Linked DNA regions of Macaca mulatta. The protein of the gene in region 2 interacts with the protein of the main gene of each other region in a pairwise test. Links are inferred from orthologs where the notes say so. Each region holds a gene or a part of one and is shown on either strand. Other genes may lie near its edges. The genes, in order: THOC1 and MOAP1.

The links.
Region 1: the proteins of MOAP1 (region 2) and THOC1 interact in binary tests that used the Homo sapiens proteins (3 or more experiments, as listed by UniProt). The two-hybrid records come from large-scale screens. The link is inferred for Macaca mulatta from reciprocal best matches to the Homo sapiens genes MOAP1 and THOC1.

What each region holds. Positions count from the first base shown.
Region 1 is NC_133423.1:71,586,911-71,595,603, forward strand, and holds part of THOC1 (THO complex subunit 1), read right to left. Parts: intron 7,734-8,693; coding exon 7,667-7,733; intron 4,251-7,666; coding exon 4,132-4,250; intron 3,683-4,131; coding exon 3,634-3,682; intron 3,224-3,633; coding exon 3,128-3,223; intron 289-3,127; coding exon 206-288; intron 1-205. UniProt on the Homo sapiens protein: Component of the THO subcomplex of the TREX complex which is thought to couple mRNA transcription, processing and nuclear export, and which specifically associates with spliced mRNA and not with unspliced pre-mRNA.
Region 2 is NC_133412.1:166,432,122-166,441,503, forward strand, and holds MOAP1 (modulator of apoptosis 1), read right to left. Parts: upstream 5,034-9,382; 5' UTR 4,718-5,033; intron 4,522-4,717; 5' UTR 4,402-4,521; coding exon 3,346-4,401; 3' UTR 2,370-3,345; downstream 1-2,369. Other genes in the region: LYSET (lysosomal enzyme trafficking factor), read left to right, coding at 5,552-5,649, 6,395-6,806.

The DNA.
Region 1 (8,693 bases), on a different chromosome or scaffold from region 2:
TGCTAATTGTACTTCTTTTGTAGAAATGGGGATTTGCCATGTTGCCCAGGCTGGTCTTGAACTCTTATGCTCAAGTGATCTGCCCATCTCAGCCTCCCAAAGTGCTGGGATTACAAGTGTGAGCCACTGTGCCTGGCCCCACATAAGTTATCTTAATAACAAACCTGCAAATATGTTATCTGAGAAGGTTTCAAATCAGCCTCACCTTCTGACCCAGGGTGCTTTCCTGCTCATTGGTATTGAAAACAGTGACATTTTCCAGATTAAACTGACTCTGTAAGTTAAGACCTAGTAAAAAAAAAAACCAAAGAAGATTCAAAGCAAGTCCAGTGACACCTAAACTTACGTACGAATGTAACTTGTGTCATAATCAAAACTACAAAATGCTAAATCCATAATTAAAGAGCAGTCAAAATGAACACACTTGATTTTCAAATCCTTTCAAAACTTCATTTCTTAAAAGTACCTTTGGAGTATGGGCATACCTTGTTTTGTTGCTCTTCACAGTTTCTTGTTTTTTAAATAAATTGAATGGCAACCCTGTACCATACAAGTCTATCAGCACCATTTTTCCAACAGCATATGCTCACTTCCTCTGTCACATTTTGGTAATTCTCACAATATTTCAAACTTTTTCATTATCATATCTGTTACGATGATCTGTGATCAGTGATCTTTGAGGTTAGCATTGTCATTGTTTTTTGCCACAGATTTGTTTTTTGCCACAAACTGCACCCATCTAAGACAGTAAACTTTTTTCCTTCTTTTTTGGACAGCGACTCACTCCTGTCACCCAGGCTGCAGTGCAGTGGCATGATCATGGCTCACTGCAGGCTCAGCTTCCCAAGCTCAGATGATCCTCCCACTTCAGCCTCCAAAGTAGCTGGGACTACAGGCAAGCACCACCATGCTTGGCTAAATTTATTCGTATTTTTAGTAGAGATGGGTTTTCGCCATGTTGCCCAAGCTGGTAAGATGGCAAATTTAATCAATAAATGCTGTGTGTGTTCTGACTGCTTCACTGACCAACTGTTCCCATGACTCTCTCTCTCCCCTTGGGTCTCCTTATTCCCTGAGACAAGACAATATTGAATTTAGGCCAACTAAGAATCCTACAATGGACTCTAAGTGTCAAGTAAAGGGAAGAGTCTCACATCTCTCACTTTAAATAAAAACCTAGAAATGATTAAGCTTAGTAATTAAAGCATATCAAAAGCCAAGACAGGCTGAAATTTCTCTTGTGCTTAACAGCCAAGTTGTGAATGCAAAGATAAAGTTCTTGAGGGAAGTTAAAAGTGCTACTCCAGTGAACATATGAATGATAAGAAAGCAAAACAGCCTTACTGCTGATACAGAGAAAGGCTAAGTGGTCTGGATAGACAAGCAAACTAGCCAGAGAAAAGCTTTAACTCTCTTTAATTCTGTGAAGGCTGAGAGGTGAGGACCACAGAAGAAAAGTATGAAGCTAGCAGAAATTGGTTTAAGAGGTTTAAAGAAAAAAGCCCTCTCTGTAACATAACAGTACAAGGTGAAGCAGCAACTACCAATGGAGAAGCTGCAGTAAGTTATCAGAAGATCTAGCTAAGAACATTGATGAAGGCGTCTACACTTAACAGATTTTTCAATGCAGATGAAACATTCTGATATTGAAAGATGCCGTCCAGGACTTTCATAGCTAGAGAGAAGTCACTGCCTGCCTTCAAGGAACAGGCTGACCTTCTTGTTAAGGCTAACGCAGCTGGTGACTTTAAGTTGAAGCCAATGTTCATTTACCATTCTGAAAATCCTGGGGCTCCTGAGAATTATGCTAAATCTACTCTGCCTTGGGCTCCATCCATAAAGACAAACCCTGATGACAGCACATCTGTTTATAGCATGGTTTACTGAACATTTTAAGGCCACTGTTGAGACTTACTGCTCAGAAAAAAAAAGATCTCCTTTCACAATGTTATTGCTTATTCACAATGCACCTGGTCACCCAAGAGCTTTGATGGAGATGCACAAGGAAATTAATGTTGTTTTCATGCCTGCTAATACATCATCCATTTTGTAGCCAATGAATCAAAGGGTTATTTCAACTTTCAAGTCCTGTTATCTAAGAAATACATTTCATGAGGCTATAGCTACCATAGTGATTTTTTTTTCTTTCTTTCCTGAGACGGAGTCTCGCTCTGTCGCCCAGGCTGGAGTGCAGTGGCCGGATCTCAGCTCACTGCAAGCTCCGCCTCCCGGGTTTACGCCATTCTCCTGCCTCAGCCTCCCAAGTAGCTGGGACTACAGGCGCCCGCCACCTCGCCTGGCTAGTTTTTTGTATTTTTTAGTAGAGACGGGGTTTCACCGGGTTAGCCAGGATGGTCTCGATCTCCTGACCTCATGATCTACATTTGAGAAGATGTGCTCATTGCTACTGGAGTATCACTACTTCTGCGGCCCTCTCAGAGACCAGAGCTAGGAAAGACATATGTGTATACTAACCATACTCAGGCACTACTGTAAGCTCTTCACGTGTTTTAATTCATTTAATCCTCACAACATATAAAATAGGTGGTATATTAGCCCAGCATTAAGAAAAAGAGAACTGAAGCAATGAGATATTAAAATCTCGCATATCTGAACCGACTGGGGAGGGGGAAGGCTCTGGAGAATAAGCAATGTCCCATTTCAGGAGCTACAGAGTGGTTATACAGTATTTGTTTCATTATTATTTGCTTTATGTACTTTTCTATATAAGCATTATATTTCACAATAAAAATCTGTTAAAAAAGAGAAATGAAAGGAAGTCTATATAGCTAAGTAGTCGTGACTGAGAGAGAAAATGGAAACACAAAAATAGGCATACATTACGAAATATAGATGTGACGGTTTATATCTACATGTTTCAGTATGATTCAACTGTACGTTAATAAGCTTTGAACTTAAAAGAATCCATGACTTTGTTTCAAGATTACCTGTATTATATACTAGGACTGCTATAACTATTTATAAGTAAAAGAAAATAAAGTGACAATTTCTATGATGTCTTTCAACTTTTTAGAACCATTTTTCTCATTATCATGACAGATTTTAATCTATTAAAAACTGGAAAAGATTTTCCTGCAGAAAACTCATTTAACGCATAAAAGCTTACCTGATTTCTCAGACAGTGGGAAAAGCCTGGCCAAAAAGAGCTGAATCCGTCCACAGAAGACTGTATTCTGGGATTTAGACAATCTTCTTAGGAGATCTAATGATATATGAAAATGAACGTTACACAGAAAAGATAATTCTATGTTTATTACAACCATACCTAAAAGTTTCTAAACCAGTTTGTCGAGAGTATTTTCCTAAAGCAGTAGTTCTTAAAATGGGGGCAGAAACCACTGCCACAAAAAAGTACTAGAAATTAGGAACAAAACAAGTTCAACATGACATGAAAAAGACAAACTTTACTACATGTTTCTGACTTTCATTAAGTTTATGCCCAGAACAAAAACAGCTTAAAGTGAATGAGTTCTAATAAATCCGATTGTTAGTTAAAAATACAAATACCTAATCTATTTTTAAAATGTTATCACTGGTATTTAATTCAACCACATGTTTTTCTGGGCATATTTACATTTTAAAAAGCTATCATTTAATCACTCAATTACTTACCATTGCACATACGTAGTAAGTAATTTTTCCCAGCAGAATAGAATGTATTCTGAAATTAAGATGGAAATTATCACTCTTCTTCTGAACTTGTTACACATTCTTCAATAAGTTGCAGGAAGTAAAATATTAAAGAACACTAACATGCACTGAGAATCTACTATGCCACTTACACTTTTTTAAAGTAAATAACATTTTCAATGAAATGAAAATATTTTCAGATATAAGATAAGAAAACATGATACTGTTTTTAACATGTGAAAGTGTGAATTTTCAAGTTAGTTTTTATTACTCAAATTAAATCAAATTTTGTATTTCAAGTTTTTCTCCACACATGGTTTTTACTTGGCTCTCCCAAGAGAGCAGTATATAATTTTTTCATAGGCACAAACTTGTTGGCGATCAGCAATACTACAAATAATTTCTTTTTTTAAATCTACCCTCAGAACTCTGAATCTACAGAAATACAAAGTTAGCAGGAAAAGAAACTAAGGCACTTACTGATTTCCAAGTAGCAACATTTTTTTCCACAAAAGTGAATATTGTGTCACACTGATCCAAAGGAAGACAATCCAAAACATCTCCCAACAATACAAAAGGTGTAGATGCGGTACAAATACCTTCAAGTGGAGCACAAGCCAGTTTAAAAGTTTAAAAAAACATTAGAGTAAAACAGCCTATGAAAAATAATACTGAAGAATATCTTAAAAGGTACACTTTGTTACTCATAACAAAGTTTTAAAAGGACAAGAAGTGGAAGCAGCCTACAAGTCCCCAAACAGGACATATTTAAGTAATTTTTGATATGTGCACTCAGTAATGATGACAATAATTCTTGACAAGATCTAGAGCATTTACTATATGTCAGGCACACTAAGTACTTTACATATACTAACACATTTAATCCTTATAACCCTATGAAGTAGAGCATATCATTATTTGCATTTTATAGAATGGGAAAATTGAGACACAGAGAGGTTAAATAACTTGCCCAAGATCACAGAGCCAGTAAGTGGCAGAGCTGGGATACGAACCCAGGCAGTCTGGCTCCACAGTCTGTTTTCTTCACCACTAAGCTATTCAAAAGAATATAATGCAGCCAATTAAAAACGATGGTTATAACGACTATAATAACTTGGAAAAATGCTTAGGATATAATGCTAAGTGAAAAAGGCAGGATTCAAAATTGTATGTACATATGATTATGACAATAAAAAAATTCTTAAAAGACTATAGAAACTAAAACCATTATACCAGATGAATGGTTTTTAAAAGTAGAGGAATTATGAGTACTGTTTTCCCTTTTTCTCATTTCCAAATGTTTTGTAGTGTTGCTAAATTGTCTTTGTGATTTGAAAAGATTATCTTCAAAAAATAACAAGGTTTGATATTAACTATGATTTAACATTTAAAATAACAGTATTGTTTCAGGGGAAAGAATGGAAAAGTAGAAAGTTACTGTTTAAAGAACAACAAAATTAAGATATTCTTAAGAAAAGGTCTATTTAGTCTATTCAGACTACCTAGAAATACTTTTATATCCCTACTCATCCTTCCTTCTATTTTAAGGCAATGGGTACTTACTAACACTCATAAGTGTTTAAGAAAAGTAGTTACTTAGGCATGGTATATGGGGAAAAATATCTAGGGTGATCTAAGTCCAAAACAGTGCATTAATACACTATATCTAGAAAAAGGAAGAAATCTTTCCAGCTGTACTCTGCACTAGTAAGATCATATCTGGAATGTGATGTGAGGGATATTGCCGAAAAGCAGTGGTGGAATAAAACAGCAGATTTCAACTCAATACAAGGGAACACACCAATAACCACACTTGTCTAACAGGACTCAAACAGTGACCTCCACTAATGAGCATGATTCAGCAGAGGCTGAATGACCACCCATCAGGGATGTTACAGCAGGGAAGCGGTCTAGGCCAGAGATGAGACGGGACTAGGTGACCTCGAAAGTCCCGAACAATACTTAGATTCAATATTATATACCCTGCACATCCAAGAGATTTGAGAAGCATACTCTCTGCCCTTAGCTGCAGTACAGCCTGGAATAAGTTAACTCACATTAAATAATTAGAGAACTTTTTCTAGATTCTACTACCAAAATTCTGAGTCAGTAGAACTAAGCAAGGTTTGGGAATCTCATCTAAAAATAGATTCACTGGTGGTTCTGATGAGCCAGCAAGTCTGGGAACCACTGGGTTACAGTGTGATTCCCCCAAGAGCTTTCACAACCTGTGTCCCAGCTTCCACACCAATCTCTCTCTACCCTTACCTGGGCCACAGACATCCCTCCCTAGTTCCCACTCCGCAGCTCCCAAACACCATGACATGTTCATCCTTCCATGGTTTTGTTTACAATGTTGTTTTCTGTGTAAATACTCTTCCTCCTTTTTACCACATGGTAAATTTCAACTCCATCTTTCTAAGCATAGAGTGAATGTCTGCTCATCTAAATAACTCTGGTATCTTGAAGCAGGCTACTTCATCTATGCTTTTGAAACACACTCTACATAAATACACTGTAGCATTTGGCACATCCTAACCAGTGACCTTTGAATGTAGACTATGAGCTTTTTAAGGTTAGGCATTTTCATACGCTTTAACCAGTAGTGTCTCACACCAAACAGAAGCTCAATAAATATCGGCCAAATTGAATTTAACAAAATATATTTATGGATAATTTAAAAACATGTCACATAAGCAAACAATTATAATCTGTCTCAAAAACAAAAATTCTCCCTAAAATAAAAATGCATTTATACCTTTACAGTTTAAGCTCTTAAGTCCTTATCCTTCTCAAAAGTTCCAAGTATAGACTAGACTTTGTACAACTTCTTCATTAAAAACATCACCAGCTGTACAAGAGTAATGTATAAAGTTAATCAATGAACTAAGGACACACTGAAAATTGACAGAAACTAGACAGGAACATTGCATTGTGGAACTTATCTAACAATGCCTAATGAATGAATGAATGATTAGGCAACTTGTATAAAAGTTTAACAACGTGAATTTATGAACTTAAGTTCACAAAATAGTTTGCCCCTATACTGGGAGGTGTGTGCCAGTTTTTAATAGAAGCATCAAAATAACACATAATGTGAATAATGCTTTACAGATTAAAAAGGAGTTTTCATATACATTATCTGAATTAATCAAATGAGTATTTTAACCAAATGGTTAAAGAAGAATGCTGATAAATTAATTTTTAATTTCTTCTTTCTGCAAGTATTTAATGAGCTCCCATTATGTGTCAGGCACTGTGTACTATGTGCACTGTTTACCCAGTCTTCTAAAGCTATCGCATACAGCCATTTTAACAGGCCCCTGCCCAGTTTTCCTGCCAGCAGTCACTTCAAATGGAATCATTCATCTGCAGCTGCTCTTTAGTATGGCACCTAATGCCCTTTATAAATGGACCTAACCAGCTTCTTTCCTCATCATTCTCATTGTCCTCTCCTCCTCCTGCTCTACACAATTCTCTAGCTACTCCCTTCTTAGTATGTCTGACAAATTCTTCATACTTCACATTCTAGTTCTCATGTTCTTTTCTAAAATCTCTCCTGATTCCTTTAGACTGAAGTTTAGAGAGACATGTTGGCTCTATTCCCTCTAACTACACTTCATTCCCACTTCGACCATAGTACTTACACCAAAGTAAGGTATGCATACATCTGTTTCTTCCATTAGCTCCACATAAGCAGGGGAATATGTTTTATTCACCATTGAATCTCCAGGTCCTAGCTCAGTACCAGGCACATAGTAGATGCTCAATAAAGATTTACTGAATGAACAAAACAACTGGAGGACAAAGCAAGTGCCAAAATGTGCACTGCATAATAGAGATGAGAAATAAGAGTGAACTAATTCAATTGGGACTTCTTGGCAAAGCTGGGAGTCAGGTAGAACTTGAAGAATAAACAAAATCAGATGTGGAGAAGTATGGGGAGAAGACGTTTTAAATAAAGCATGTCATGTCCAAGACTACTTTAAACAAAACAAAACAGAACCATACTTACCTTCAGTTACTCCCCCAATAGCAAGAGAAATAATAGCTAAAACGTTTTCACATGATGAATGATTTATCTACCAACAGAGGAGAAACAATTTAATTTAGGGGCAAGAGTTCAGACTAAACTTGGTAACAGTAAACACATGTACTCTGATATTATATTGACTATCACAAATACGGAATACTACATTTCTTATAGAAAATATCTTCTAATATGAAGTTACAAAAATTTAACAGTAACATATAGAATCAGTAGTTGTAGAAGTATGTCAAGTAACAGGTAGGTGACTCATTCAAAATCCAATGGTCTCAGGAAAATGGTTATATTGGTAAGATGAAGGCTATAAGCTAATCAAGGACAGAAGTGCTGAAGCCATAACTCAGCCGGTAGCACAGGGCAAAGGCAGGGCTAGGGGAATTAACTACTAATACACCCATGTGTCTGAGGGGTGGTTTTAATAGAAGGAAGGCAGTGCTTAGGTTTTATAAAATTATAATAACCAGCATTTACTGAGCGTTCATTAAGTGCTGTTTCATATACAATAACACTGAAAGAACGGTATTTCCCCTCTTTCAAAAGAAACTGAAGCACAGAAAAGGAAAATAACTTGCCCAATGCCTTTCAATGGAAGTAAAGGAAAGAATCATTTTTGAATCAGAATTGTCTGAGAGAAAGGGACACTGTATTATGGCCAATAGAAGGGAATATAGCTTTTGGGGACTCAACCTTTGCTTGACCAAGAATAAACTGTTGAAACTTTTCCTTTCATAAGGTGCCCCATTATTGGTAAATAAATTCAGATTTTTCATGGTTAGACTTCTCTCGTGAAGTTGGAGAGCCCTTATTTACATAAGTTTACTGATGAGGAGGATGCCAGAGGAAAATGAAGGAATGGAATCCCAGCTCCTAAGCTAAATATTCTTGGACTAGACCTTTCATGCCACTACAGGATGTGTCACTGTTTACATGGGAAAGTGAGAGAGCCCACCTTCACCTCTAGTTCTTCCTAAGACCTCATGTCAATTTTTCTTAT
Region 2 (9,382 bases):
TGTATTAACACCCATGGGTGCACACATTCGCCATGTCTGCTTCCCACTACTGAAGGGGCAAGTGAGCGGCCCGTGTCACAATGCCTTGTACACTCCAAATGACTACACAAATATAAACAAGATCAGAATTACACCTTCTAATCTATTCAGAGTCCATATATCATCTAATATTTATCTTTCCATCGTGGAAGAATTTATGGGAACCTAATCATGACATTTAGTCATAACACAAACATTATACCATGCCTTTGAATCTAAAACCAAGGTGCACATTCCAAATTTGGGTACTTTATGAAATACTTTATCCTACCTTTCAGCAATTGTTAACCATGCTTTTTTTTTTTTTTTTAAGGTAAAAGATAACCCATGCCACCTGCCCAGGTCTTATAGATTCTCATATTCTCCACTGCTAAGTGTCTAATTTGCAGTAGGTTTCTGATCCAGAATAACGTGTAGCTGACTCTTGAGCAACAGGAGCTTGAACTACACAGGTCCACTTATCCACAGATTTTCTTCCGTCTCTGCCACCACTGAGACAGCAAGACCAACCCTCCTTTTCTCCCTCAGCCTGCTCAATGTGAAGATGACAACCAGGATGAAGACCTTTATGATGATGCACTTCTTTAATGAATTGTAAATATAGTTTCTCTTACAATTTTCTTCCCCCATTTTTTTTTTTTTGAGACACAGTCTCGCTCTGTTGCCCAGGCTGGAGTGCAGTGGTGCAATCTCAGCTCACTGCAACCTCTGCCTCCCAGGTTCAAGCGATTCTCCCGCCTCATTTCCCAAGTAGCTGGGGTTACAGGTGTGTGTGGGTTTCACCATGTTGGCCAGGCTGGTCTCAAACTCCTGAACTTAAGTGATCCACCTGCCTTGACCTCCCAAAGTGCTGGGATTGCAGGTGTGAACCACTGCACCCAGTCATATAATTTTAAGAACATTTTTTCTTTAGCTTACTTTAATATAGTATATAATACAAATAACATACAAAATATGTTAATCAACTTTCTGTTATTGGTAAGGCTTCCAGTCAGTAATAATAGTTACGTTTTTGAGGAATCAAAACTTATGTACAGATTGTGCAGTGGGCTGGCTCCCTGAAGCCCCAAGTTATTCAAGGGTCAACTGTACTCCCCTGCAATGCACATAAGATGGACATTTATGAAATGGAGCCAATGCCTGCCCTGCTTCCCTTGTGAGGCTAATGGGTATAGATACCCTGATGATTGCTTCTCTTTCTTGGCAGTAGAAAGAATATGGGCCTTGCAGAAAGAAAGAGGAGAGAATTCTGACCTAATCACTCACTACACTTACTACAGAGGATCAGAGGATAGAATTCTGGCCCAAGGATGTTTCACCTTGACTGAATTTCTTTTTTTTTTCTTTTTTTTTTTTTTTTGAGACGGAGTCTCGCTTTGCCCAGGCTGGAGTGCAGTGGCACGATCTTGGCTCACTGCAACCTCCGCCTCCCAGGTCCAAGAGATTCTCCTGCCTCAGCCTCCCGAGTAGCTGGGACTACAGGCGCCCACCACCACGCCTGGCTAATTTTTTTGTATTTTTAGTAGAGACGGGGTTTCACCGTGTTAGCCAGGATGGTCTCGATCTCCTGACCTCGTGATCTGCCCGCCTCAGCCTCCCAAAGTGCTGGGATTACAGGTGTGAGCCACCACACCAAATTTCTAAACTTTTGTGCCCATTTCCACAAGTGTGAAACTGAGTTTTCCTATATTGCAGGATTTTTTTTTTTTTTTTTTTTTTTTTTTAAGACAGGGTCTTGCTCTGTCACCCGGGTTGGAGTGCAGTGGTATGATCATGGCATGCTGCAGCCTTGACCTCCTGGCCTCAAGCAGTCCTCCAGCTTCAGCCTCCTGAGTAGCAGGGACTGCAGGTGCACACCACCATGCCCGGCTAGTTAAAAAAATTTTTTTTTACATTACCCAGGCTGGTCTCCAACTCCTGGGTTCAAGCAATCTTCCTGCCTCAGCCTCTCAAAGTGCTAAGATTATACTGTTCAACCTTTTTCCAAGAGGACTAAATAAGAGAGTAAACGGAGAAACTTTTAGTCCAATCTTCCAAGCAGCAGCATGCAATGTTCATTTCTTTCCTTCTCCCTCCAAATTTGACACACTGATACATCTGCACTACTTGCACTAATTTGTGCACTGTCTTGTTTCACCCCATTGTTTTACTGCTTCAGTGGAAGCTCTCTTCACTTAGAAAACAGTTTCCTACCCCTGAGCACCAAGAGGAAAGAGTTCAAGGAACTAAGTCTGTGTAGGTCCAGTGGTTTGCAGATTCATGCTTTGGGAACTCTTTATTCAAATGAAATCTCTCCTGGAACCTTGATATAAACAAAACAGACAACGTCATTTTATTACCATTCCTTTATTTTAGAAGCTCACATCTATAATTTTATAACAATCGTGAAAATGTTACTCAGAACTAGATGTTTTGATGACACATAGCAGAAATCTGTAAAGATGGTCATTGAAACTTAACCAATCTCAGCATTCTATTCCGCCTTTTGTTTTGATTGCACAGAATCAATATAATTTTGATTCATACAGAAAATAACTTAGTATCTTAACCTCCACTCAGGATCTTCATCATAAATGTAGGTCAATACATACCTAAAAACTGTCAATGATCCAACATGATCACATGTGACATGCTACACTTGTGCCTCGTACCAAACAAGCTGATATTTCAATGAGATCTGGTCAGCATATACACCCGAGCCTTGTCTGTCCTCTCAGAGCACTGCACACAGGTAGTGAAAGAACTTTTGTACAATAAGAAATTCACAGGGATGAGGCCGGGCGCAGTGGCTCACACCTGTAATCCCAGCACTTTCGGAGGCTGACGCAGGTGGATCACTCGAGGTCAGGAGTTCGAAATTAGCCTGGCCAACATGGTGAAACCCTGTCTCTACTGAAAATGCAAAACTTAGCTGGGCGTGGTGGCACGAGTAGTCCCAGCTACTCGGGAGACTGAGGCAGGAGAATAGCTTAAACCCGGGAGGTGGAGGGTGCAGTGAGCCAAGATCGCGCCACTGCACTCCAGCCTGGGTGAGCACGAGACTCTGTCCCTACAACAACAACAAAGATATTCACAAGGATGAATTTAAATAGGTAAACAGCAGTGTAGAACTACATCCTTCCTAGTCAATTACACCTTTAGGAGACTTTAAATAGGCATAGAAACGACAAAGGGCTTATACTGAGAATTGCACAAAAATGAGTTACTTGGCAGCACAAGGTAGGGATTGTATGTGTCAAAGAGTATATAGACTGTTCTACCTTCATGCTCTACTCATTGCCATATCCCTTCGTGATTCCCTGAGACTCAGGTGAAATGCCCTTCTAATACTTCCTGGAGAAGGGCCTCCTCCTCCTCAGCTGCCTCGTAATCCTTTATTAGTACCAGTAACTGCAAGAAACCAGGGGCTGGGCCATCCTCTGGCAGATTAAGCTCTCTGCGAATTGTTTTGTGGACTGCGCCAGCAATGACTTGGTCTAGGCGGGCCTGATTCACAGCATCTCTCTCAATTGCTCCTCTCTGTACCAGCTTCTGTAACAAAGGCTCCAGCCTTAGTACATAAGCCGACAACTTTTCCTCATCCTTCTGATAAGTGGTTAGATATTTGACCTGCAACTCTCTAGGATTATCTGTAACCCCAAATACCTCCTCAAGAGCCTGCAGGCATTCATCGACAGTAATTAAAGGATTGTTTATCTTGAGGACACGAATAACATCAAGTGCTGGGCCTCGAAGGCTCTCTAGCAATCGCCTTCTCTTCTCTACATCTGGCACCTGCCACGCCTTTATCATCTGAGTAGTATGAAACATCCAGCGTCCAAATTCTTCTTCTCCTGGTTCTGGAGGCTCCCTGCCCGAGAACACTCTCAGCTTTTTATACTTCAAGCATTGCAGGGCAGGCTGAAGAGCCTCTAATGCCTGTGCCAACATAGGGGCCCACATTTCTGGGATCATGCCCTGCTCTAGGTCTAAGGAGCCATTTTCATGTGCAAGAGCTCTGGTCAACTCACCCACTGTCATGCCCTCTCCCGCTAAAAATTCATTTAATCTGCTTAAAAATGTATTATCAGAGTCAGGGGGCTTAAAGATCACTCTCCAGATACCCCCTTTTCCCGGTATCTCCTTAGGGACCAGTGCGTGACTAGTCTCCGCAGTAAGACCTACTAAGGCTACTTTCCTGTTCTCATCCCTCCTGAACATCCTTCCAAGCAGTCTGTACTCCCCCAAGGGAGCTAAACCAGCCTGCAGAGCCTCCTCGATTTCTGCCACACTGCAGCTCTGGGAGATGCCGGCAATCAACAGCGCTTTCCGAGGGTTCATGTCCATCCCCCTGCACCAGTCTTCCAAAAGCCTCAAAGTCATGGTGCCCGAAATAATACACTTAAGTTCTAAATATTCCAGACCACAGGCGGCCACTGCAATTCAAAGTAATCCTCCGCGGTACCTCAGGGAAATCTCGTCAACGTGCCGAGGTCCAGCAGCCTGCAAAACACAGCAGACAGGTTAGCTAAGGGTGCCAACGTCCAAGGCACGCGTGCAGGCCCCAAGCCCCGCGCGCCCTGCCCCCCGCGGCGACTCCAGGGCCGCCGCACTGCGGCGCGCGCCCCTCACCCCTCCCAGCCCTGGTGCCTGGCGGATGTCGGGCCTGCAGGGCCTCTCCGGGCCAGCTTCCACTCACCGTAATCTAGTGCTCGGTGCCCGCGTCCGTGCGCCGGCGGCGGAGGTGCCTGGCCGGGCCCCGACGAGGTGCGGGAGGGCGGGCTCCCCTAGGCTCGGACGGACACTCAGGGGCCAAAGCGACTGATGCCGGTCCTCCAGGTGCTTGTGATGCTCTCCGTAGCAAGAAGTGATCGGGCGATGACAGTCGCGATCGGGCACCGGGAGGAAAGGCTGAGGAGCGCTGAGTCGCCAGACCCAGACAGCCGCCCACCTGAAGGGACGTGCCGCCACCCGCGCAGCTAGACCCCCAGCTCCAGCGCGGATTCCAGCTGTTTGGGTCTCGCTGGGGGAAGCTGCGCGGCGGGCGGGGGCGATCTGACGTCATGAGGGGGGGCGGGCCTCTGGGGGGCGGGGCGCGCGCGCTTCCGGCCCGAGCCGGAAGCCCGGACTGCGGCGGCATCCGGGACGGCGGGCGGGCTGGCCACCCGGGACAGGAAGGTGAGATCCGGGACCTTAGCTTTGCAGGCAGGCTCTGCCGGCGGCCGCTGACTGGCGCTGGGCTCGCGACGCTGCAGGGCTGCGAGGCCCGGGCCTGGCGCAGTCAGCACAACCCTGGTCGCTGCGTGCCGGCGCTGCAGCGCGGCAGGGGGCGGGGCCGGCCGCCTGGAGGCCCTTTTGGCGGGGACGCCTCCCGGCCGGGTCAGGTCCCCATAGCGGGTCTCCGGCGGCGGCGACGGGGGCCGGGCCGCGCGTGACCCGCCGCAGTCACGCCGTTCTTAATCACTAGTAGCTGGTGCTCCAGGCTGGCGGCGCTCACCTTTCTCCTAGCCGGGTGACCCAGGGGATTTATTTTATGGTGGCTTTCTCTGAAATGCCAAAGCCACCCGATTATTCAGAGCTGAATGACTCTTTAACGCTTGCCGTGGGAACAGGAAGATTTTCGGGACCACTGTAAGTGCTTAGGAGTTACTGTCTTAACTTGGGGGCTTGACTTGTAGCACCCCGCGTTCACATCTGAAGCAGTACTGTAAAGCCGAAAGTGTTTCACCTGTCAAAGTGAAAAGTGCTGTGGGAAACTAGTTTAATTCCAGTTTCTGGAGGGCGGGTATTATGGACCTGTTTAAGTAGGATGCAGTGATTTATTCTGAGATTCCCGTTAAAAAGCAGAACTCAGTATATACTGAAATCAATGGTTATTTTGTTTTTGTTTTTTTATTGTAACTATTACACAAAACCTGTAAGTTTTACATTTCTTAATAGGCGTTTAATTATTTTAAATCTTAAGTGTGTTAGTGGGATGCTTTCGAATTTAATTTTATTTTTTTGAGACGGAGTCTCGCTCTGTCGTCCAGGCTGGAGTGCAGTGGCGCGATTTCGGCTCACTGCAAGCTCTGCCTCCCGGGTTCACGCCATTCTCCTGCCTCAGCCTCCCGAGTACCTGGGACTACAGGCGCCCGCCACCACGCCCAGCTAATTTTTTGTATTTTTAGTAGAGAAGGGTTTCACCATGTTAGCCAGGATGGTCTCAATCTCCTGACCTCGTGATTCGCCCGCCTCGGCCTCCCAAAGTGCTGGGATTACAGTTGTGAGCCACCGCGCCCGACCTAGAATTCTTGGAGATAAAGCAAGTACATTTGGAGTAGTTGCGGTGACAGTACTACAAGACCCTAATTGTATTTTCTTTTTTAATTTGAAGGCACAGAGCATGGAGAATGATGAATTTCCGTCAGCGGATGGGATGGATTGGAGTGGGATTGTATCTGTTAGCAAGTGCAGCAGCATTTTACTATGTTTTTGAAATCAATGAGACTTACAATAGGCTGGCCTTGGAACACATTCAACAGCACCCTGAGGAGCCCCTTGAAGGAACCACATGGACACACTCCTTGAAAGCTCGATTACTCTCCTTGCCTTTTTGGTTGTGGACAATTATTTTTCTGGTACCTTACTTACAGATGTTTTTGTTCCTATACTCTTGTACAAGAGCTGATCCCAAAACAGTGGGCTACTGTATCATCCCTATATGCTTGGCAGTTATTTGCAATCGCCACCAGGCATTTGTCAAGGCTTCTAATCAGATCAGCAGACTACAACTGATTGACACATAAAATCAGTCACCGTTTTTTCCCTACGATTACAAAACTGCCAGTCCTATATGGAGTCTGATCACAAGACTGCAGTTTCTTCACAGATCTCAGGAAGTTGTGGTGGGGCAGAGGCTTTTTAAAAACATGTGATCAGGGGGCTATCTTTATCTGAATAATAATGAATTTTTAGGTAAAACCTGAGATAGAGTACTACAAAATCATGTTGATGACTTCAGATTTTGGAAGTTAAATCGTGTCTGTTATTTGCATTCTTTAGAAACTTGACTGAGTACCTGAATTCATATTTCTATTCTACTGTGCAACATAGTGATGATTCAGAAATTTTTCCTTTGGGGAAAAAAAATGAATATGAACATTTCCATTGTGTTAAGTGTAAAAAGGTCCAGACATGATCATAAAATTTAAATTTTATACAATTACTTGGCTTGCTTTAAATTCTTCACACTTAAAACACCGATTCATTCTATTGCAGCTAAGCCAGCTGTTTATACTTGCTGTCAGCTTATGAGACATTGCTAAAAAAAGTATTAAGGTAATGGCTGTCTTGATAAGCAGAATTTGTTCTTCCTCTTGGTAATGGCTAGCTAAATTATTATTAGTGCTTTTAATGGTTTTATTTTTTATATTTTTCTTTTTTGTGGAGAATGAGGTCTCGCCACGTTGCCCAGGCAGGTCTCGAACTCCTGGGCTCAAGCTTTCCTCCCCTCTAGCACTCCCTAAGTGCTAGGATTACTGGCGTGGCTCCCATGCCCAGCTATTTTTAATTAAAAAAATTTTTTTTTCCATGGCTTGTGACACAGCCTCAGGAGGCCCTGAGAACATGTGCCCCATTGCTACTAGTTTAGAAAACTATTTGGGAAGAGACTAAATGGTAAATGTTGAAAGGCTAGAAATAACTTACAAATAGAAGATGGAAACAATGTGTTCAATGAAAATAAGCAGGTTATTAATTAATTAATTAAAATTATTATTTTTTTTGAGACGGAGCCTTGCTCTGTCACCCAGGATGGAGTGCAGTGGTGCATTCTCGGCTCACTGAAACCTTTGGCTTACTGCAACCTCTACCTCCCCGGTTTAAGAGATTCTCTTGCCTCAGCCTCCTGAGTAGCTGGGATTACAGGTGACTGCCCCTACGCCTGGCTAATTTCTGTTATTTTAGTAGAGAGGGTTACAGCATGTTGGCCAGGCTGTTCTCAAACTCCTCACCCAAGGTAATCCGCCTGTGTCAGCCTCCCAAAGGCCTGGGATTACAGGCATGAGCCACCATGCCCAGCTGTATTTTATTTATTTATTTATTTATTTATTTATTTATTTATTTATTTATTTATTTTGAGACGGAGTCTCGCTCTGTCACCCAGGCTGGTGTACAGTAGTGCGATCTCAGCTCACTGCAACCTCCGCCTCCCAGGTTCACACTATTCTCCTGCCTCAGCCTCCCAAGTAGCTGGGATTACAGGCACCCGCCACCATGCCCGGCTAATTTTTGTATTTTTTAGTAGAGATGGGGTTTCACCATGTTGGCCAGGCTGGTCTCGAACTCCTGACCTCAAGTGATCCGTCTCAGCCTCCCAAAGTACTAGGATAACAGGCATGAGCCACCACGCCCAGCCTATAACAGGTAATTTAGTCCAGTCCTTATCAGATGCATGAGACCCCTCTAAAAGATGCTATCAAGTCATAATCTTTCTGATTTTCTTTTCTGGCCCAAGGTCAGGTCGTCAGGCGGTAGGTTAATTACATGAAGATGTGATCCTTGTATACCTTCTCCTTTGCATTTGTACTACCTCACATCTGGTACTAATACAAATAACTAAAACATGGACACAGTAGAATGTCTTCTTTTCTGTGTGAGATCAAGATATATTTTTATACAGTTATGTCATTAATACTGGAAAACATTTTATGCTTTTAATAATTTAACACTTTTTGGTGCTGATTCTGTTGAACCCTATTCTAAGAGCTTTATGGAAATTAACTCATGTTAACTCTGAACAACCCTATAAGATGGCTATTATTATCCAGATTTCACAGATAAGGAAACTGAGGCAGAGAAGGCAAGTAACTTGCCAAAGGTCACAGCGAGTAGCAGAGCCAGGGTTATAACCAGGTATTCTCATGCCTTCGTTACTAACCACAGAGGCATAGTGCTTCTCACAAATGACAAATGTTTTAAGCACTGGGTACTGTTTGCCCAGTCATGTCAAAGAATGGAAATGGCAATATTATTGACAAGTTCTTCTCCATTTGTCTACTAGAAATCTGAAAGTTTCCTAGCAACCTCATCTTTTCACTACATCTGACTGAAGCAGAAAGGAAGGCTGAGTATTTCATAGCAAGCTTTTACTTAAAAGATAAAGCAGGTACCTTTGTCATGCAAAAGTAGCAGATCAGATCTTTCAGATAAATTTGTCTCATTTATCTCACTGCCTCCAAAGGTCTAGTTACTGAAATGATATATCTTTTGATACAGTACATGGAATCCTCAAAGTAAGCAGCAGTTTGAAATACCTGTTTCTGTGAGGTTCAGATGACCAAATCACTTGCATCTTTTAAGTCTTCAGTATGCATGTTACAGG